2 linked regions of the Rhinolophus ferrumequinum genome follow. Each later gene encodes a partner of the first gene's protein in a complex. Links are inferred from orthologs where the notes say so. Each region holds a gene or a part of one and is shown in the gene's direction. Other genes may lie near its edges.

Region 1 (11,278 bases):
ATGAGGTCGATATTGTCTGCAGCCCAAGGCCGAGTTTTCGCAAAACCCATGTGTCCTTCGGGTTACGTGATGTCTGTGTTTGCTCAGCTTATAACCCCCTGCTACCAGGGTCTGAGGTCCCTGGAATGGAAACCCTAGAGGAGAAAGTCTGAAATGGACCTTCTGGGAGACTGCAAATCTGAGTTGCTGAGGAACTTCCTGAGCAAACTTATGGAAGTTATCCCCCAGTTTTCTTAAGGAGATCTTCATCTAAGGAGAAAATCTAAGGCAGTCTTCTACTGCTTCTCCCTCCCCACACTCCACCCCCGTCAGATCTTACCTCCCTCACTCCCTCCCTCCCTCCCTCCCACTACAGCTCTAGTCCCCAAGACCAAGGCTAAGGGGAGGTGAAGTGGGGCACTCACCTTAGGGGCAAAATTTTAAAGGGATGCCAAAAAATTCATCAATCAAGATAAATAATATCTTAATTCAATATTTTTAAAACATCAAAATTAATGCAAAAAAATCCATGATGAACAAAATGACAAATTTTAAAATAAACACAGAATCAGTATTATTCCCTTTCTTTTTTGGCTCCACCTTTTGTAACAAGGGGAAAGAGTGGGTCTGTCTTCTTCCAAACCTTTTCTTTCAGAGCCCCCTGTCCCCTAACTCTAGACTCAGTCAGGCTTTTCTCATTTGGGCAAGATATAATAATCACTCAGGCTTCTTCTACTTCCTTACCCACACCCAAGCCTGTCACTAAGCCCCAGCCCCCAACCAGGTTGGTGGTAGGGCGGGCCTGTAAGGCAGATGGCTAGGGTATTTATAACCCAGGAGCACTTCTTGGGAAAAGTGATTAAGATGCTAAGAGTATATTTATAGCTGGGTTCTGACGTAAGTGTCAGTGGGGAAGTAGGGCCAGGCCAAGCACAGCAGCAAGAGGGTAGGAAGAAGCTGGAAATTGGGGACACCTGACAGAGAGGGTGGGGAGAGGTGGGGTCAGTGACTCCTACAGCCACTTCTTGCTGTTTCCCTTGACTCTCGCCTGGCACTAACAGGTAAGCCCTCTGAAACACAATACCATGGGCAGAAACCTCTACTTTGCAGTCATACAGTCCAGACCTGAGGGGATAGAGAGCTGTCACTCACCAGCTTTACAGACAGAGAGGGAGCTGGCGAGAGTACTGGACAGAGGGGCTTGAATGTTTTAGGACCTGGAGAGATGTGCAGGGTGTACAGGAGGGTCTAAAAGTCTCATTGTCCCTTCTCTCCACTCCCCACCACACAGTGCCCTGAGTTTCTAGGAAGAGCCTCGCACCCATCACCAAGCTCCATTGCCCCCTGTCAATGTGATGAGGTCCAAAAGCAAAGGTAGCAGTGAGGTGGGTCCTGACGACAGCCTCTGCTCTCTGGTAGTGGCTAGGTGAGAGAGCAGAGAGACCGGCTTCTCTGTCTCCTGTTGGAGAGGCAGAGTCTCCAGAGTGTGAGGCTGGGAAGTGTTGCATCTCTCCACTCCCCAGAGTAGCCCTTTCCCTAGGAAACTGATCAGCTCTGACGGCTGCTGTCCAGTGGCACGACACTGCCACAGAGTGGACACTGGTGGTACTGAGGCCCAGCCCCCAAAACACCTCCTCTCTCTCCCCCTGGTGCCAGACCTCGCAGCGTCTCTCCAAAGCCCCCACTGGCTAAATAGTGGGAAACTGAATAAAATGGAGTGGGGGCACATTTACAAATCACAGTCACATCCTCCTAGCTTCTTGAAGAAACTGGAGCCTAAGGAGAAAGGCTAGCATGAAACCTTCCCTCATGAGTTCAAGGTGGAGGGGCCTTGGCCCACCCATATAGTCCATGAGGAAGTATGGTAAGGAGGGCTGGGATTGGCACTAAGGTTGCTGTGCTCTGCTTTGCTCTTAAAAGTCCTTAAACTACCCATTTCCCACCCCCATTAACAGAGGCCTGGCACCACTTCTAGGATACCCCACATTTAGGCAACCCTCACAGTCCCCTGCAAGAGAACCAGCAGCTGGGTACAGGCACTCCCAAGTCCCATGCCCTCTGCCAGCCTTGACGGACTCTGCCCTGCTAGATGATTGCATCACCCCCACCCCCACCTCTGGGTTTCCCCAGACATCACAGTAACATGCCAACACCTATGCCCCTGCCCTCTTCCACGTTGTGCTTCAGTCCAACTGGACTCTGGGCAGCCAGCACAGGCAGGGGCAGGAGGTGACTTCTGTGTCCCGTGGCACTGCCACCTTGGCCTGGGCAAGAGGACTCCGTTCCTCCCGCCCCCACCCCCCAACCTCTCACCCCTGTCCCAGCCCCATTTCTAGAAATAAAGAAACCAGAGTTCTTCTTGCCCAGACCCTAGAGAAATCACCACTGGAACTTACAGCTGTCTCATGAAAACTGCTGCAGCAGTGGCTCTGGGGCAAGTTAAAAGGCTGGAGGGATGGGGGAAGTTGCCCTTCCCCACCTTGCTATATGGAATCCCCTCCCCCGAGTCCCAGACCTCGGGGACTGAGCATGTGAAATCATCCTCTTTCTTGCATCATGCGTGTCCACATTGCGCCCCCACCCCCATACCCCTACCTTACGCTCAGTGACCAGGGCCAGATGGTGAAACCGGAGCTCCAGGGGGGAACGTCCACCCCCTGTAGGGGCTTGATGGGCAGCACAGCTGGCCAATCTGGGGCTCAGAGGGTAGGTCTGCTAGCTGACCACGAGGTGAGGGAGCCCCAGGCTGCAGGCTCTAAAGAGGCCCGTCGGTAACCAGACATGAGCTGTGAGGGTCAAATTGGCAGATTGTGCTAAACACAGCTACCCATCGGACCTTCCTGAGTCCCCGGCAATAGAAGACAGGTGGCTCTACCATTGGCTAAGGGTAGGTGTGGCACTGGTGTCTGCTGCTGCTGTGCCCTCATTGGCCTCCACAAAATCACTCAATAGAAGGAGCAACTGCCATCTAAGGCTCTCGCCCAGACCCAGGGCCATTCACCAGGAACATGGAGCTACCTGATGTCCAGGTCCGGCTGGTGCTGCTGTGGGCACTGGTGTGGGTGCATGGGGCAAGGTCTGTGTGTCCCTCCTGTGGGGGCCCCACACTGGCGCCTCAAGCAGAACGAGCTCTGGTCCTGGAGCTAGCCAAGCAGCAAATCCTGGAGAGGCTACACCTGACCAGTCGTCCCAGAATAACTAATCCTCCACCCCAGGCAGCACTGACCAGAGCTCTCCGGAGACTACAGCAGGAAAGTGTGGCTCCAGCTAATGGGGAAGAGGTCATCAGCTTTGCTACCACCACAGGTGGGTGAGGGAGAGACAGACAGACAGCAGACAGGGAAAGGGAGACTGACAGAAAAGGCAGACAGAGCTGGCTGTGGGAGGAGGAGGAGGTGTTGGGGCAGGAACTGGTTGTGGAGGACGAAAGGCAATCCCTGTTTCCTCTAAAGGTGGGTGCTAGGGAGAGCATGGGCAGGCTTGCAGGAGTCTCAGAGGAGAGCTCCATCTCTACTATTCCCTCAGTCCTTTCTCCATCTCTCTGGCAGACTCCTCCACTTCACCCTGCAGCTCCATGCTCATCTTCCACCTGTCCACTCTCCAGTCCCACCACCTGCACCACGCGCGCCTATGGCTGCACGTGCTCCCCACCCTTCCTGGTACTCTGTACTTGAGGATCTTCCGATGGGGCCCACGGAGGAAGCACCGAGGGTCCCGCGCCCTCTTGGCTGAGCACCATATGACAACTCCTGGCTGGCACGCCCTGACTCTGCCCTCTAGTGGCTTGAGGGGTGATGAGTCTCGTGTCCTGAAACTCCAGTTGGACTGCAGACCCCTAGAAGGCAACAGCACGACTGCTGGACAACCTCGGAGACTCCTGGACACAGCTGGAGACCAGCGGCCCTTCCTGGAGCTTAAGATCCAGCCCAATGAGCCTGGAACAGGCCGGGCCAGGAGGAGGACCCTGACCTGTGAGCCTGAGACCCCCTTATGTTGTAGGCGAGACTATTATGTAGACTTCCAGGAACTGGGATGGCAGGACTGGATCCTGCAGCCTGAAGGGTACCAGCTGAATTACTGCAGTGGACAGTGCCCTCCCCACCTGGCTGGCAGCCCCGGCATTGCTGCCTCCTTCCATTCTGCTGTCTTCAGCCTCCTCAAAGCCAACAACCCTTGGCCCCTGGGTACCTCCTGCTGTGTCCCTACTGCCCGAAGGCCTCTCTCTCTCCTCTACCTGGACCGAAATGGCAATGTGGTCAAGACAGATGTACCAGATATGGTGGTGGAGGCCTGTGGCTGCAGCTAGCAAGACGACCTGGGGGTTTGCAGTACAGAGATCAAGATGGGGGTTCCCAGGCGAAAGGCATCTGTGGCTGGAGGCATCAGATTCCTGATCTGCAACCCCGCACCCCGTGGGCCACCTGGCAGTATGACTGGCTTGACCCCTATGGGACCCAAATGGGCACTTTCTTGTCCAGACTGTGGTCTATTCCAGGCTGGTTAATGTGTGGGGAGATGGGGAAAGTGTGTCCTCTGAAGGAATCTACCCAGAAAGCATGATTTCCTACTCTAAGTCCTATGAGAAAAGGGCAGAGGTGAGGGAGGGAGGGGGAGAGGGAAGGAGGGAAGGAGAAGGCTGAGAAAAATGACTTAGTCTCTCCCAAGAAGAGAAAGTCTTCGAGTGAGGGAAGGATGAAGCAGACTGAGGGCCCAGCAGGTTTGGGACAGGGGTAACAGGCTGGCCAAGGGCGGAACTATTGAGGTGCTTTAAGGGAAGGTCAGGAGGGAAATGGGCAAGGGGCTTAGGGAAGGTGTTTAGGAGAGCCCCAGAAATGAGAGTCAGGAGAGAGGGGTGCTGAGCCTGAGAAATTTCTTGGTTTTTCCCAGCAGGGGGTAGGGCCCACTGGGGAGACAAACTTTTATACTTTCCTAATAAAAATGTGGAAATAATCAGTAAGTGTGAATCACAAAGGTGGGCTGGGATGATAGTCTAGAGCAATGGTTCTCAAGGTGTGATCTGGGGACCCCTGGGTGGTCCCTAGATCTTTTCAGGGGTGTCCACAAGGTCAAAACTATTTTCATAATAATACTTAGATGTTATTTGCCGTTTTTAATTTTCATTATCTCAAAAGTGTACAGTGGAGTTTTCCCGAGGCTGTGTGACGTGATTACGTCATCTTTCTGACATCATTTTTAATGGGATGTGTGCTTGTGTATTCTTGGGTCACAAACTTTTTTTCAGTTTTAACTTCTAATATGGTAAACTAATATAAACCATATAAACAAAAGCTCAATAATTTTTAAGAATACAAAGGGGTCCTGAGACTAAAATGTTTGAGAATCGCTGATCTAGAGACCTGGGTGGGAGGAGAAAGCAATATATCTAAAAGAACTCCCCTGGAAGAGAGGACACATGGCTGAGACAGGAACATATGTAGGGTCCCTTTTTCTCCAGTGACCATTGGTCTTGCGTGGCCCGTTGGGTATAACTGGCATCTGGGTCAAAGTCATGTGGGGAGGAGGCTCAAATAGGGCTCCTTATCTGTCCCTCACAGCTACTATCTATATTTGTCTGGCCCCAACCTCTTCCTAGTTTCATCTTTTCCCCTTGACTCCCAGATTGAACAGTTAACCTACTGACCCTTCTAGACCCAAGGAGGTGGTTCTTGGAAGCGGAACTAGGATGTGGGAGGTCTGTCTGAGGGGTGACAGAAAAGGAAGGGACTCCTTTCCCCCACCATGCTTTCTCCCCTTTCTCATAAAGAAAGGTCAGGCAGACTAAAATAGCTGCCCCTTCCCCTGCATCCGGTCACCATGGCAACACAAATCCAAAGGAACAGGGCATTCTACTATCAGACACTAGTGCTCTGCACTAGCAGCCTCTGCCAGTGTGCCCCTCCGTCTCTTTGGGCTCATACAACCCCCTTCCCTGGGCTCCTAACTGGGCTTTGGTGAGGGGACCGGTAAAGCCAACTCCTTTTAGCTCCCCCAGTCTCCTCTGCCTCCAGGTTCCTAGAGGGTGTCATGTGCCAAAAAGGCCAGCAGAGGGAGTAGACGGCCTAGAAGAGTAGAAAGAGTGGGCAGAGCAGAGGTGCGGAGGTGGCCGCAGTCTCCAGAACTTCGAGACGAAGGAGAACCCGTGTTACTCCGGAACAGCGCCTCGGTGCTTGGGTTCCTTAGTAACCTTGTGAACACACACTCTGCACCAAGAGCCTCAGCCGCTATTCCTCTCTTTTATGTTCCGTAGACCCCTCACCTTTCGCCCAGGGACCCCCAACCCAACTCTGCCCCAATCCTGTTTTCCACCAAATCCCAACCCCCTTCTTGTATTTATCATCCAAAGAGTGAGACCGGCTGATAAACTACAGGTCTGCAGAATGCTCAGCTAGCACTAACCAAAGTCGACGACCTTACCTCCAACATTATCTTTATGGGATAAACTTTTTCGTCGCCCCCCGCCCCGCCCCCAATATATTTCTCAATCTGTTTTTTCTGGCTCTGGTTCAGGGCCTCTTCGTGGGCAGCCGATCCAAAGATCCATACCGGGATTTACTGCCCACCACTAGCAGCGTGTTCTGCGGGGGGGGGGCGGTTAGGCAGCCTAGGGTCCCTCAAGGGAGGGGGAGGATCCTGGGGGTCCTGGGGGTGCAATAAGCCCGACACCCCCTCTCTCGCTTCCAGCTACCCCGCCTCATCCTCCAGAACAGCAAGAGGGAGGGAAATAGGAGGGAGGTGAGGGGCGAGCGGGAAGAGCGGCGGCGCGCCAGCGGCTAGAGCGAGAAAAAGTTTTTGCAGAAGGGAAAAAAAAGTTTGCGCTTCTCGCGGGTGGTCCCGGCTTGCGGCCCGTAGGGCTGGGCCGGCGGGAGGGCTGGGGGCCAGGTTAGGGGGGGTGGGGGTGGCACCGAGGCTGCGCTACCGTGGCTCTGTCCGCCCCCCCTCCCCACCGCACACCCCCCAGCCCAGACTCCAGCCCTGGACCGCGCATCCCGAGCCCTGCGCCCAGACGGAGGTGAGAGGGGGGCAGGCGGGGGACCACCTGGGAGCTGTGGGGGAGGGGGCCTGAAGGGATGCTCTGCTTGCGAGGGACTCTGCCCAGCCAAGAGGGAGAAGTGGGGCACAGAGGCAAAATGGGGTGGGAGAGCCTGGGGTGAGATATTAGAAAGTTTGGAGAATTTTTTCATTTATGTCTCCCTTTCTCTGTATCTTTTTTTCTTCTGACAGCCTGTGTGTCTCTGTCTCAGGCAACCGTGGATCTCTTTGTCTGTCTCCGCCTCTCCCATACATTAGAAACATCTCACTTTCATGAGGTTGGAATGAAGAGGCTGGAGGGACGGCTAGCTGGAGGTCTGCGTGGTAGACAGGGAACTCCAGGTGTGTCTCTGAGCGCCGGCAGGAAGATGTCAGTGTTTCTGAAAGGAGGGACAGCTAAGGAGAGAGCCCTAGGTGGGGTGGGGATGGGTGTGTATGAGGCGACAAAATCACTGGGGGGCGGCTGGGCTTGAACCCCTGATCTGCCTTATGACAGATGTGCTTGTTGGTGCATGTGTTTTGGGGAAAAGGAGTGTCTTCTGGATAAGGAAGGGGACTGGAGTGTCTACTTCAGGCCCTAGAGCGACTCCTCAAGGAATTTGGACTCCTGAGTCCCTAGGGCTGTGGTCAGGGTGCTAAGGAGGAGCCGAGGAGGCCTAGTCTTGACCCTCTGACCTCAGGACCACCAGGGCAGCTGGGACCAGCTACAGGGAGACCCCTACTGGGACTGGGCGGGACCACCGGCCACTGCCTGCCTATGCATCCCCGTTGGCCCCCTCCCAAACAGGAGCTGGGGACCGAGGCCCCTCCTCTGACTCAGACCACCCTGCCTGCCCTTGCTCCCCGCTCTGAAGCCTCTTTCAAGCCCCGTGACCCCGAAACAATCCGCCCTGGGCAGCTAGCTTTGGGGACAGGATTAGGGAAAGGGGATCCCATAGAGACTGAGGACTGAAGGTTTTAGGGGGCTGGAGAACTAGGGTCTTCATAGGATAGGTCTTTACGGTCCAGTAGAGGGAGAAGGAGGGGCGATTTCCCTGGGGAGTTGTAAGGGCCGGAGTTAAGGTGGTTTTCCCTAGGGGGGCGGGGTCCAAAACCCCCCCATTACCTCCTCGGCATCCCCTGCTAAGCGGCACAGACCCCGCCCTTGACGTCACTAAGGGGGTTCCCGGGGGTCTGCAGGGGTTAACCCTTGGGAAGCCAACTAGGATACCCAGGAGCGTAAGGTGCCCTGACTGCTTCCCTCCCCACAAACACACCTTATTTACCCAGTCACTTTTCCTACAGTTTCTGGATTCTTTCTTTTCCGTCCCGCCACTGGGACCCCCACTCTTCAACAGTGCCCCCCCACCCCCACCCCCGGCGCGCGCACCACTCACTACCAGCTTTCTGGATGCGCTGAGGGGAGGAGGGAAAAATTTGTCCCGCCTCTCAACACCACCCCCCCCACCCCCCGCTACACTGAGGCTCGCTCGACTAGGCTCCCGGGGCGGGCGGGGGAAGCGGAGCCGTCTGCAGCCAGAGCCTGCGGCGGCTACTTGGGTGGGCCGAGGAGGCACGGGGGCGGGGAAGGCGGGACCAGGAGAAGGGGGGCGGGGCCGACTTCGGGGAGTTGGGGAGCGGGGGTGCGAGGGGGACTCTGGAAAATTGGGAGACACAGAAGATGATTCAGGGTTCCAGCCGAGAAACCCTAGAGCTCCCTGCCCCATCCTGCACTCTCATCCACACCCCAGAAAAACTTAACTGAAGCTGGAAAAGTTGGCTAGTGTGAAGGGGAATCGTGGGTGGGCCGTGGCACGCGTGGGCGAGTAGGGATGTCGCCCCATTTCCATCGCGGCTCCCCTGCGGCTGGGCAGTGGGGCAGAAAGATGACAGAACAAGCACGTTTGGGGGGTCGTTTGCGAGCCCCCGCCTCCTTCCCCTGGGTGAGTCATAGAGGAAGGAGGCGGGAGATGTGTCCTCCGATCCAGCTGCCAGCCAGCTGCGCCCCCCCCTCCATAGTGCCAAGGTCGAGTTGGGAGGTCTTGGATGCGGGATCCGGATCTCCGCTAGGAAAGGAGGAGTTAGGAAGGGTACAGCCCAGGCTGCAACGCTCGGGCTGGGTCCTCGGGTCCGGGTAGCGCTCCCCATCTTACCCCGCCCTCACCCTAAATCCCAGCATCCCGGGATCACCCACCACGCGGGCCGGCCCGCTCCCGGTGGTTCTCCACCCTACCCCGCCCCACCCCACCCTCACTCCCGGGAGACCGGAAAACCCGGGGTGGACCAAAACTAGTTTGAGGAGAAAAGCGGATAGCGGCACCCTCTCCTCCCTCACTCACTGCTCTTCTCAAATGGATGATGATTTTGTTTTTTTATTCTCCCAAAGCCTTCCCTCAAAGTCCTTTTACTGTTCCCCCAAAACAGACCAAAAGAGTTAAGTGGGCGCCCAGATTCAAACCCAGAATAACACCAGCTTTCATCCTTTGTACTCAGCTGACCCTGGAGGCTCCCCTCGGAAACCTTATCCCCTTCTACTCTGTTTTCTGACTTAGAGAAAAGGGCAGATCCGTCGTGCTCTCTCCTGGCCCCACCAGCCTCTCCGTCTGGGCTGCAGCAAGGGCTCCCTCTACTGGACACTGGAGAGATTGTAGGCGAGGTGTCCCTGGGCAGAAACAAATGAAGGGAAGGGAACCGGGTTCAGGCAGAACAGCCAGCCCAGAGCTTGAAGTCAGATGCTCTGCGTCTGAGGAGTCCCATCCCACTCCTCAAAACTGGCCTATGGTCAGAGCAAGAAGAAATAGAGGTCGTATGGTATTAAAATCAATTGAAGCTCATATAGGCACAGTTACTCCACAACACCCCACTACACACACAGGGAAAGCTCCTACCCAGTTCCCACAAAAATCGCCAACACTGCCCCTGCCTCTTTGAGACTTCTCTCTTCATCCTCACTCTGGCTGAATGATGCTCATTTCAACCTGGTGTCCAATGGCAGATGTCTTGGAGAGGCTGGGGGCACAGGGGAACCTCTGCCCAGTGTTCTGTGCCTGAATTAGTTATCTGACTTTCCCTATTTCCCTCCCACCTTTATAACTTGCAGATCTCCCTCCCTCTCCTGCAGTGCCTCTACACTCCTCTGAAACACCATGTTCAACCCGATGACCCCACCACCAGTCAGTAGCTATGGAGAGCCCTGCTGTCTCCGTCCCCTCCCAAGTCAGGGGCCCGCCAGCATGGGGACAGAAGGTTAGTGCATATACCAATTCCCGGGCCTTGAGGACTGGCAGATCTCTCACCCTGCCCCAGGAATCCCTCTTCTATCTCTTATCCCATGCCAGTTTCCCATCTACAAGAAGATTTGAGGCCCCATGTCATGTGGGCTTAGAATATGGGACCAGGCCTTGCCTGGGGTTTCAGGGTGAAGATTTGTGTGTCCCCCATTCTCACCCCCCATCCCAGCTGTCTCTCTTTTCTAGGACTGTCCGGTCTGCCCTTCTGCCACCAGGCCAACCTCATGTCTGGCCCCCACAGTTATGGGCCAACCAGAGAGACCAACAGCTGCACCGAGGGTGAGGCCTCAGGAAACATCTCTGCCCCTCTGGGACTTGTTCTGAGGGAGAAAGTGGGAGGGAAGGGGATCGAACTGGGAAGAGGAAGTGCTTGGAGATGTGAGTGAGGGGTCAGAGCATGATCAAGAGGTCACAGATGGGGTCAGTAGGGCAAGATAGAGTCATTTTTTTGCTGAGGGTCAGGACTCCCGGTTGGGTGCATGGAGAGACATGCCCCTTTACCATATTTATCTCCCCAGTTTCCTGCCCAGCCCCACTCTTTCCTCCTCCCCGGAGTGCAGTCAAGTTGACCAAGAAGAGGGCACTCTCCATCTCACCTCTGTCAGATGCCAGCCTGGACCTGCAGACAGTTATCCGCACCTCACCCAGCTCCCTCGTGGCCTTCATCAACTCACGCTGTGCCTCTCCAGGGGGCTCCTATGGTCACCTCTCCATCAGCACCATGAGGTGCAAACAGCCTCAGGCTAAGAGGGCCCTAACGATCCTACCAAACCCTATTAAAAGGCTCAAGCCCTCCAACACATCTCACCCTACTGGAATTCTTTCGTTTCAAGTGTTGGAGCCCTTCTCAGTCTCAGCCATTTCCCGTACCATTTTCCACACGCCCTCCACGTGGCCCCAGAACTCCTGAGACTTTCTGAGGTCATAATCCTAAGTAACTGCTTCCCATCTTCCTCTTCCTCCTCCTCAGCCCAGCTCTGGGATTCCCACACCAGATGAAT
Region 2 (11,412 bases), on another chromosome or scaffold:
TCAAGCTCAAATGACTGGCAGATGAAGTCTAATGTATGAGCAGCCGGAATGCCAGAAGCCCCAGGCAGAGGTGGTACAGAAAAGGCCAAGGCAGTGTTGGGAATAATGCACAAGACCTAGGAGCCAGACCCAGGAGCTGGCCTGCCAGGCCAGCGGTTGGGTGAAGAATGGGTGGGGACAGGGGGAGGCAGTTTTCCCTCTCTGTGTTGCCAAAGTCAGGCACTAGGATGGCCAGTCTCTCTGTTCTGCTCAAGCCATACCATGATATCATACAAAAGGGTCATGTCCATTTCTTTAACAGTATTTATAACTAGAAACTGTGTCCCTGGCAAATGGGCTGCCACTCTGTTATTCACTCCGGCAAAACCAAGTGAACAAATGCCTGTAGAGGCTTTTTGAAAAAGTAGTCTCATAAATATTTGGGTGTTAAGGACTCAAATCTGCCAACCACCACTAACCCTTCATTCTCCTTCTGATACAGGAAAACAAATAGCAAATCCCATAGCAAGGTTCTCCCAGTATCTGCTGGCTATAGGTCCCGTGGCTTGGGTGACTTTCATCCTATGTGTTCTGGATTATTCTGGACATGACCAGGTAGGAAGCTAACTGTCTCCTATTTTACAAGTGGGAAAAGGATGTTGAAAGGTGGATGGAGCCTTAGCTTTTAGGACACTCGTGGCCCATTTTGGCCCAAAGACATCTTTTTTTGGGCCCACAAAGTACTTTTTAAAAAACAACTTAATTGACATAAAATTCACACACCAATTTACCCATTCGAGGTGTGTGACTCAATGGTTCTTAGTATATTCAGAGTTATACAATCATTATCACAATCTAATTTCAGAACTTTTTCATCATCCCCCCCAAAAACTCTGTACCCATTAGCAGTCACTCTCCATCCTGCCCCCCACCCCCAGCCCTTGGCAACCACTAATCTACTTCTGTCTCTATAGACCACAAACTACTTTTACATTAACTTCTGACAGTTAAAAATTGGAGACTGCATATGAAATTTAACATTTCTGATTTCTCTTGAAAAATCAGGTCTGGCAACACTGGGCCTGCATTCCAGCATGGGGACAAGTGGCTGAAAAGGAGAAGCAGCTGGGCCTTTGGTCAGGTATGCTCAATGCACCTTCCATATTCCTTATATCACCTTTAAGGCTCTCCTCTTCCTCTCCCTTTTTAATGTCTCTGCTTGGCCTCTGCAGGCATTGAGTTGCAGACCACTATTCTAGGCATTCCCAGCAGCTCATTCTTTTTTTTTTTTTTTTAAGGTTTTATTGGGGAAGGGGAACAGTGTGTATTTTTCCAGGATTTTTTCCAAGTTGTTGTCCTTTCAATCTTAGTTGTGGAGGATGCCATTCAGCTTCAAGTTGTTATCCTTTAAGTCTTAGTTGTGGAGGGCGCAGCTCAGCTTCACGTCCAGTTGCCGTTGCTAATTGTAGGGGGCACAGCCCACCATCCCTTGAGGGAGTCGAACCAGCAACCTTGTGGTTGAGAGGACACGCTCCAACCAACTGAGCCATCCGGGAGCTCAGCTCAAGGTGCCGAGTTCAATCTTAGTTGCAGGGTAGAGCCCACCATCCCTTGAGGGCGTCGAGGAATCGAACTGGCAACCTTGTGGTTGAGAGCCTACTGGCCCATGTGGGAATTGAACCGGCAGCCTTCGGAGTTAGGAGCATGGAGCTCTAACCGCCTGAGCCACCGGGCCGGCCCCCAGCAACTCATTCTTGATAGTTCTCCTTCCACACAGTATCTGGCTTCCTTCTTACCCTCAGAGCACCTAACCTGGTGTGAAGCCCATCCTTGGCTCTCAAAATACACATAACTGAACAGTGAGGTATTTCTACAAGTCACCTCCCCTTCACCCTTTCCGTTAAGCTAGGGATGGATTCTTGCTGAAGTTGTACAACCAACAGCCTGGATGTCACATGGCAAGTGGCCATGTTAAATAAATACACTGCCTTCATTTCTTCAGCTAATTCTAGGGTCCCTTAAACTTAAGTGAATCAGCGTATCTTAAAAGCTGATTCAAATTGTAAAAAAAAGAGACAATTAGTGAAATTTGAACATTGAGTGGATATTTGATGATCTTAAGGAATTATTGTTATTAGGTTTGATAACAGTATACTGATTCTGTTTTGAAAGCATGTAGGAGAGGAAAGTAGGTGGGAATGTAATCAAAAAGATTGGCCAAGAGTTGATAATGGTTATAGTTAGGTGACGAATATGTGAATGTTTGTTATACTATTCTTTCTCCTTTTGTTTATATTTGAAATTTTCTATAATAAAAAGAAGAGCTGGTGAATAAGATGCCAGCATTTAAGTAAAAATTCAAAATACAAACAGTATGCACACAACGTATATATAAAATCAAGGATGGAAAGGAGCACATCAATTTTATGATTATGGTTGCTTCTGGGGTTACTTCTGGAACAGAAAGAGAGGACGGGATTGTGAAGGGGTACAAAGAGTTTTCAATTATACCCGTAATGTTTTATTTCCTAAAAAAACAAATCTGAAGCAAATGTCAACATTCATTAAACCTGGGTGGTAGACACATGCTACCTACGTATGTGGGTGCTTATTATATACTTCTCAAAAATTTTCTGCATTTTTAATGTATCTCATTTTTTTAAAAAGGGGGTTGAAGCAGCATAACATCTCTCCAAAACAGTGGAACTCTTATTAATGAACTTGTAAAGATCTGATACTGTGCTTGCATTTAGGCTCACATAGTCACAAAGACTTTTAAGATAGACAGTTTTAAGTATGTTGATCCATTTTAGGACAGAACTTAACCTTTGAGATCTTAGCAAAGACCTGAGCTTTAGAATAAACATAGTAATCTAATCAAAGTGTGGTGGTCCACAAAATGTCCTCCCGGAGCTGTCCTCCTCTTGTATTATCGTGTTGTGTTGTATTGTGTTGTATGCCTTTGGAAAGAATAACTTATGTTTAGTTTTTAAAAATCACTCTATTGTCATTAAAACACAGGCAAGTACACCGCCCCCTCACTCCCCTCCATTTTTCTCATTAAATTCTGATGAATTGGTTTGGTGCCAGAATAGGATGAAAGGAGTGGTCAACAATTGTCTTAATACTGGGAAAGATTGTGAACTCAATAACGAGGCTCTTCCCTCTCTTCCCTGCTTTCTTTGTTCTCCTTTATTTTAATTACACTCTTCTTAGCCCAGAAACAAAATTGTAGCCATATGTTAACCTATGGAGATGTTAAACCTGCTAAGATACATTATTCTCACAATATATAATTGCCTCAAATATTTAAAATGATTTTTCTTATCCACCTTTCACTTTGAAACAAACTCTCTAAATGGCAAACAGCAAGAACTACCGAAGGCCCCAAATATAAAAATGTGGCAGATGCTCAGTAAACCCTAATGGGACAATTACTTAAGTTTCTCCTACTTCACCGATTGGCAGAATTATTGGCATAATAAAGGAAATGCTTTCCTAGAGAAAAAAAACAAGTTGATTCTTTAAACCTTAACAATGAAAATGCACCACTACCTTAATGAATTTCAAATACATTACCAAGAAAGGGAAAGGAGAAACTAAGAAGCATTAGCCTAAGTGATATTAAAGAAAATGAGGGGGAGATTGAACTTCTGCCCAATAATTCAAGAAGCAGATTTGGTGGGATGGACACACTGCTTCTTCATGGCTGATGAAAAAAAGGAGCTAATTTCTTTTTCAAATTATGAAGAAGGCAGATGCAGCACACACAAACAAGCTGAAGACAGAAATAGTGGTTTCTGAAAAATCAACGTCAAGAACAAGGAGTCCTACTCAACCCTGTGCAGTAACTAACTAGGCTGCCCCACCCCATCCTTTATTTAGGGACATCATTGTTACTGTGATAGAGATATTTAGTCATTCATCCACCTACCCATCAATGCAATGAAAAAACACTGAGTACTCAGTGATGCCTGAACATAGGTACTCTGGTGTGTGGAAGGAGGTGGGAAAGGGGAAAGTATTAAAAAATAAAGGGATACCATCTTTTCCCACAAGGATTTAATAGTCTAGTGAGTGAAACAAACAAACAAACAAAATCCTCTCCAAAATGATTTGTCTCATTGAACTCAACTTCTTGCTTTTCAAGGCAGAAGCCATACTCCTGAAGAGAGGGAAAGCTAACAATAAAAAAAAGCACCCTTTTTTGAAAAAAGTTAGGAACTTGGAACCTGATCTCGATTTGAGTCTTGGCTCCTCAACTCACAAACCTGGTAGTTCGAATACTGTTATTTAACCTCTCCAAGCCTCACTTTCCTGCATAAACTGAGGATAATGATTCCCATCTACCTACCAGAGCTGGAGCTTAAAAGAGATGATGCAAATGAAAAGACCTTGCAATTTACCTAAGGTCCAAGAGGGCTGGATCAACAGAGCAAATCTGACAGTCATCTTAGGAGAGAGGGAACGGGCAGTTTTGCCTCAATGGAGAGATTTAGAAGGGGTACAGAAAAGGTATCAACCAATTTTGGTGGGATCAAACCTTTGGAGGAAAGAAATGCAGTTGTTTTACGATTGTCTCCTTCCGCGCAAAATAAGAGCAATATTTAGATTCTTTTCATTTATCACTATTGATGCTTGGCGTGGGGGAATGGAATAACGGATAAAGCACTGGATTTAGTGCGACCTTGTTTGAAACCTCTTCGCGCTCGTTTTCTCATTTGTAAAACGAGCATCAAACGTCCTGCCTTAACTATGTACCCAGTTTTTGTGAGGATCCAACTTGAAGGTTACGAGTATGTGAAAGCCCTCCATAAGCGCTAGAGAGCCTGGCAAACACTATGTAGGTAAAATTTCCCCCCCAGTAACTAGGCGTTCCAAAGAGGAAGGTACCTCCCTGCTTGCTTTGTCACTCTCCCTTCTTCTCGAACTTTATTAACGCTATAATTTACAATCACAGAAATAACTGAAATCTGATGGCCATTTCTGACACCACATTCTTGGGCCCCACCCAGATACACCGCCAAGCAACCCGGCCAGCTCCAGACCAAAGGAAACTTAGCCCTTCTCCACCCGCGGACCGGCCCTAGCCCATCAGGCCCTACCACTGAGAGTTCCGACAGCCAATCCCCACAGTCCTCGTGCACTGCCCCGCCCCTTAAAGAGAAACGCTTTGACGGCCCGGAAGAACGGCAAGGGCGCAAGCCAATCACTGCAGAGGGCAGCCCTCATCAGGCAAGGCTCAGAGGCGGGGTCATCGGTCAAGATGGACAGCCAGAACAGCCAATAGAGTTATCGGAAACTGGGGAGGGGCGGGTGCCGGGCGCTCACAGAGCGGTTAAGGCCCCTAAGAGTCAAGGGCCCAAGGACCCGGCTCGGACTACAGCTGTTCCCTTAATCCACTCCCAAGTTCTCTATCCCATGGTTGCTGGCCGGCCGCCCTGCGTGCGGTCTATGGGTGGAGGAAGGACGGAGGTAGCGGCGGTTGAACCCGCCTGACAGGCCAGACCAGTGACAAAGAGCCGGCGGCGCAGGCTTGAAAGCCGGGAAGCGATCCCTTCGGGGAGGAGAGCATGAGTCCCTTTAGAGAAATGGAAGACGAAACTCACGTTGTCGATCACAACAGGCTGGTTGGCGATCACATCGTAGGACTCCATGGCAGAGGAATCTCTCCTTCTGAGGAAGGAACTGCCTGCCGGGTCCGCAGCTAGCGCCACTGACGCGCATGCGCAGTCTAGCCGCTGATGCAGGGCGGCCAGGGAGCGGCCAGACCTCGCCTCGGAAGAACTACAACCCCCACGATGTCTTGCACCTGCAGTTAGAGGGCAAGGCAGTTTCGGAGCCCCGCCTAATTTAAGAGACCCATTACCCGGTGTTGCGTTTCCGACGCACAGTACCCTGGGCTTTGTAGTTTCCATAGATAAATACACGGGGATTCAGATTGATGGTTGTATTGCAAGCTTGGATCTGTAGGGATCCCTTTGGAGGGATTCGCAGTGCATGCTGAAGTACTTGTCTGTAGTTCGCTTTGGATTGATCAGTAATTCGTAGATGTTCGGATTTTACAGATCAGTTCTGCCACTCCGCACCACTTCTGGACAATATTAAGGCTACCATGTTTTTATCTGGATCCATAAGATATTAATAAACATCTATGGCCACCACACTCTAATAAAATAAATTTTAATACACACACATACGGGGAAGGACATATTCCCAGAACAAAGGAAATAAATTGCATAAAATTTGCTTTTTAGGAAAAAAATAACAACACATTTTCATTGCTTTTTGCATTTTTTCCTGGATAGGTATAAACTTTGCAACAGGCTAACACTGGTCTGAAGACTGGCATTTGGAATTATTGGTAGAGAATTGACATTGATGAGTGAGAAAATGGAGGTGAAAAGTCACTGCTTTCAAATGATTTCAGTGCATTTTTCTCTAGATTATTTCCTCCGCTGCTTCAAGTTGCAGGGATGCTTGTAGTCAATAGCACTGGTAGCCTGGACTCCTTTCTATTCGTCTTTTGGAATTTCTTCAAGATCATTGAGTGGGAGATATTACTTTTTGAAAAGTTATTGTAAACAAGAAAATAATTCCCAACCCGGTGCCTTAGAAATTAAAAATTCTCCCAGTTACAGAGAGTCAAAGTAATGGAGAATGGCAGGCCCATAGTAGATAATGAACATTGGTGTTCCTCAAGACAATCTGCATATCTCTGCCTAAAACACAACAAAGAAGAGATTGTCATTAACATCTATTAAATAATTACGAAGTTTCTTTAATTGATCCTAGTTTACCAAACTCTTGTTACTTTCCATCAGAATTCCATAATAGGTATTTTGACATACGACCCCTGAGTTTGGTGGTGTTGGTGTCAGTCAATACGATTAGTGGACATTCCAAGGTGTAGGAAACATTCAGATTTAAATCTATTTAAACTAGTGCCAAATGGAGGAATGAATTAATCTATTGTCAAACTTATGTTTAAATCCTTGTTAGCGTGTCACCCGACCAGTGATAAGCTCTTCGTCAGCGCACTTCCCAGTGCTTATGTGGGACCCTAGCACCTCAAAAGGATGGCTCCACATCTGTATTTAAACCTGGGCTCCTCCTAACACTAGGGGGAGGCCAAGAGCCTTGGGATACCCCTAACACAGGGAGAGGGAGGCGGGACCTATTGTCAAGGCACGCAGTCCCACGTGTGACTGGCACAGACATTAGCCAATAGAATCTGGGATAGGGCGCGCCGGTGCCCCGCCTCCTTGAGCGTCCAGCGGCCCCCCCAGGCAACCTCTGGCTATCTCTGCCGCGGCGACGGCCTGGGCGGACGGTGCGCTGTGCGCAGGCGCGAAGCCTAGACCTCGCTGCAGCCCCCATCGCCTAGGGGAGTCGCACCCTCCAGGTTCGCCCGCTGGCGCGTCAGTGCTCTGCCGCTCGTCTGCCCTCCCGGGTTCTCCCAGCGCCCTACGCGCCCGGATGGCGGAGCTGCGGCCTAGCGGCGCCCCCGGCCCCACCGCGCCCCCGGCCCCTGGCCCGACTGCACCTCCGGCCTTCGCCTCGCTGTTCCCTCCGGGACTGCACGCCATCTACGGAGAGTGCCGTCGTCTTTACCCTGACCAGCCGAACCCGCTCCAGGTTACAGCTATCGTCAAGTACTGGTATGCCCTGGGCCGCGCGGGGACACCAACTGGGCAGGCTGGGCAGGGTTAAAGCACCAGGGACGAAGTAATATTCGGAGGAGGAGGAGAAGAATGGTTAAAGCACTTGGATGAAGGGCTTCCTGCTGCGAAGGAAGGAGTTGTAAATGGGGACAAAGGGGTTAACGGAGCCTGTGGGTAGCGAAGGGTTAACGAGGGCGGGGAGGTTGAAGGGTTAACTGGAATTAGGAGAATAGAGTGAATTGGGAGTGTGTAGGAGCTGAGCGGGGAAAGATAGGAGAGTGGGAACTGTAGACGTGGTGAAAGGAGGGGGCGCCTGTAGGGGGTCATTAGTGGGCGAGGGGAAGCCAAGGGGGGGCAGCTGAAGTGGGATGGGGGAGACGAGGCGGGGCCTGGGGAGCATATGAGAGGGCTTTGGAGGAGCGCGGCTGGAGGAGCTGCGAGGGTATGAGACTGCACAGGGTAGGGGTGGGTCTGTGGACTCGGGCTCTCCTGCCGTTTAGAAGAGCAAGTTGTGAGCGTTATGCTTGTGAAGAGATGAGGAGGTCTCCTTTTGATACTTTCCCAATGAACTCAGACATCATATCAGTGCGGTGCTTTGGGGTTTGAAGTTTCACGGAACAACTTTTCCTGATAAACTTTCTGCTTACTCTGCACAGTTTTTTTCCTGCAGAGCTTCCTCTGCCTCTGCAGCTGCTTTGCTTTAAGACATTGGCTAGAACAGAGGTAGGGTCAGGGAGATCCATGATTTGGCTGAGGATGGAAGGGGACCACAGTAAATGCTGAAGACCTGGGACTTGGACAGGGAGGAAAGAAGGCAGTGAGATGTTGAGGAGCTTCCTGGCCACAAGCTTCAGGATTTAGGAAGCAGTTTCTGAGAGAAGCTGAGAGTAACCCCCAAGTAGTTGTTAAAGATCAGACCTGTTTACAGATGGGCTACCCTTGGAGTAGAAATGGTCTTTTTCAGTTTCTCATTCCTGTTTGCAACCTATTTCTTCCTGCAACCTTTGGGCAAAACTGGTGTTATGGGGACTGTTGGAAAGGGTCTGTCTTCGTGGTCTTTCTCAACCAAAAGTTGACGGAGGAATTGGTTGAATCTGTCCAGAACCACATTCATGCGGGCACTGTATTAGATGACTCCCTTCATTGAGTCCTGGAAGACTGTTCAGGCAGCTGCTTGCGGTGTGGCCTAAAGGGCAGATAGACTCAAAGAGGGAAGTGCAAAGAGTGGATGCCTTGCTGGTTACCTCTCCCTTTAGAACTGAGTCTCCTCCGTGACAACATCTTACTTCCTCCGGAGATGGCAGAAGCTAGGCTATAGGACTTAGGCCAGCTAGCTCCCGGTGTAGACGGGAGCATGTAAAGAGGCTGACAGTGTGAAGGGCCTGGGGACCTGCCACCTGCGCCTTAGGTAGGCCATGGGGAGCAACCTGCCTCTGTCTGGTAGCCAGGAGGAGGTGTGGCCAGCGATACAGTTCTTTCTGGCAAGCAAACTGTTCTTTGGTTGAGAGAAGTTTTTGAAGAGAGCTTCTGACTGAATCACAGCTCTTGATAACTTAATCACCCATTCAAATCGCACCTCTATACTTAAATATGTATTGTGATGAACTATATTGGATTGTGTCATGAGGAAAGTGGGCCTGGTTCTGCCATGCTGTTTGTTCAGGCCTCATTTGAGTGTAAGGAGAAATCCACTGACAGACTTGGGCAACTTTTTATGTCACCCATGTGGCCAGGAGGATAGTGTTGTATGGAAAAGGTATTGAAGCACATGCAAAGGACTAAGACTGGTTTGGGCAACTGTTTTTTTTCCTTCTTGCTGCAAGCTTGTTAACCAGCCAGGACTTATCTTTAGATGGACTAACATGTAATGACAAATAACGACGATTTACAGCACTCTGTGAAATTAGAAATGCTGCCTAGACGCCGAAAAATATGAGGGAACAGCTCAGTGACTAGTTCTTTCTAAGGTTTGGCGGGGTTTGCATAATTAAGATCCTGAAATGAATTCATCGATGTCCCTCATGTTAGAGATACCACAAGGCCTCTTCAGTTCTCATGGCAGGATGATGGACCCAGGCTGCCTGAGTCTGGCTGTGGTCCAGGGTACCTTGGTATTCCTTTTCTCGTGACAAAAGGGTGGCTCTTTGGCTAGTGGCCTCTAGCTAGCAAGGACGCTAAAAGCCAAGACTGTAGTGAGCAGGGAGCGGACGCAGAGGGGCAGAGCCTGTACCTTGCGGTCACTCCAGTCCTGCAACTGCCTTGGGGAGTGAAGTCAGGTGTTCAAGGTATGAAGTTGAGGGATGCTCTGGGTCCTTGGATAACATCTTTTTTCTAAATGCACAATACGATTATTTTCTACATGCTCATGGCCTACCCATCCTGTCTCTGAGTAAGTAGAACAGAAGAACACTCTGCACTTGGAGACTAGATTGATTTTGTCTGATTCTTGGTTATTCCCTGCAGTTGGAGTTTTAAGGTAAAACCTCTCTCCTTGATGCAATACCTCCTGGGACACTTGGCCAGAAAGAGGGCTGCAGTAGTGTGGCAGATGAAGCACAGAACGGGGAATGCAGTTTTCCCACTTGTTGCTGGATGGACCAAGGCTGGAGGAGGGTCAGGACTGGGAATTTGCAGTAGGAAACTGGAGCAGATATGGAGCCTGTCGTCACTTCCATCTATTCTGGGGTTCTGCAGCTATCATGGGGTACTTCCAGGGATAGCTACCCTTTTCTTTCCTCCCTCCCCCGACAAACCTCCCTAAATCTGACTGGTTGTGGGATTAGTCAATTGATTTTGCAAAATCAAAGTTAAAGAAAGATATGGAGATTTGTCCCTAAGCTATTTGTAGTGACTTTCTTACATGTTCTATAAATAACTTAGCTTTCCTAGCAGAGAATAAGGATTTCTACAAAGGCAAATAATATCCTGACAAAAGAGGATGAAACCAGACCTACTGGTTTTAAATAGTGTTTAAATTGTGTGGCACTGGCATGCTTGCTGGGATCACACGTAACACATCTTTTATTTGGTTGTTTGCGTTCCTTTAGCATATGATCCCAATTGCAAAGCGCACTCCATCGATGTCCCAAGGGCAGGCAAAGTTTTTGCAGTCTGTGGAATAGTCAGATGTCCGAGGCAGCTCAAATGCAGAGTGTTTGTGGGCTAAATGCAGACTTCCTTCCGCTGATGGTTTCCATTTCGTCTGTTTCTCAAGTTTACCAAGTTTCCCTATCCATTCTGAAGAAAAGCAGGATTTTTTGAAAGAACACTAATTACTCCACTAACGGGAACCCTTATTGAATTAAATCCTCAGAGTGAGATAATGACTAAATCTCTTCCTCAACTGCCTCTGTGTTGGAAGTATGGGGGATGTTTAATATGGTCCTGAGAGGCCCCAAATCATTTAATGTTCCAGCTCCACCTTTGAGGCTGCAGTTTCCTGGGATCCTCTTGCGGATGCAAGCCCTCACAGGGCTCTGCAGTTATCTGTGCAGAGCTGAGCCAACCTAAGTTTGGCCTTTGTCACTTGCATGATAAAAGACCAGCTTTGCTTTGTGGGGTGTGGGCAGGGGTCTGGAGGCATTGGGTTTGTTAAGAACAAACTGTAATTAACATAGGGCACAATATAGTCTTTCAGGAATTAGCTGTCTAAGAGACGGGAGTGGAGTTGAGCCTCTTCTTCCAGAAACAATGCCCTTAGGGAATGCTCAGGATGATCTTTCTACAGAGGCCAATGGATTGACTGAGGCACCTCTTGCCTCGAATTGTG

Evidence for each region.
Region 2: the proteins of GLI1 (region 1) and SUFU are in contact, whole or in part, in a crystal structure (PDB 4KMD), measured with the Homo sapiens proteins. The link is inferred for Rhinolophus ferrumequinum from reciprocal best matches to the Homo sapiens genes GLI1 and SUFU. Residues at the interface, in NP_005260.1 of Homo sapiens: Gly119, Ser120, Tyr121, Gly122, His123, Leu124, Ser125, Ile126, Gly127; in NP_057253.2 of Homo sapiens: Leu144, Tyr147, Asn153, Thr154, Phe155, Gly158, Asp159, His160, Val161, Ser162, Trp163, His164, Gln212, Asn265, Leu266, Ser267, Gly268, Val269, Ser270, Ala271, Glu376, Leu380, Lys398.

What each region holds. Positions count from the first base shown.
Region 1 is NC_046293.1:56,445,104-56,456,381, forward strand, and holds the start of GLI1 (zinc finger protein GLI1), read left to right. Parts: upstream 1-6,726; 5' UTR 6,727-6,988; intron 6,989-7,200; exon of another isoform or gene 7,201-7,350; intron 7,351-10,108; 5' UTR 10,109-10,133; coding exon 10,134-10,233; intron 10,234-10,463; coding exon 10,464-10,556; intron 10,557-10,795; coding exon 10,796-11,003; intron 11,004-11,247; coding exon 11,248-11,278. Other genes in the region: INHBE (inhibin beta E chain), read left to right, coding at 2,988-3,285, 3,528-4,285. UniProt on the Homo sapiens protein: Acts as a transcriptional activator. Binds to the DNA consensus sequence 5'-GACCACCCA-3'. Regulates the transcription of specific genes during normal development.
Region 2 is NC_046299.1:22,535,261-22,546,672, reverse strand, and holds the start of SUFU (suppressor of fused homolog), read left to right. Parts: upstream 1-7,274; 5' UTR 7,275-7,458; coding exon 7,459-7,640; intron 7,641-11,412. Other genes in the region: ACTR1A (alpha-centractin), read right to left, coding at 5,589-5,636. UniProt on the Homo sapiens protein: Negative regulator in the hedgehog/smoothened signaling pathway. Down-regulates GLI1-mediated transactivation of target genes. Down-regulates GLI2-mediated transactivation of target genes. Part of a corepressor complex that acts on DNA-bound GLI1.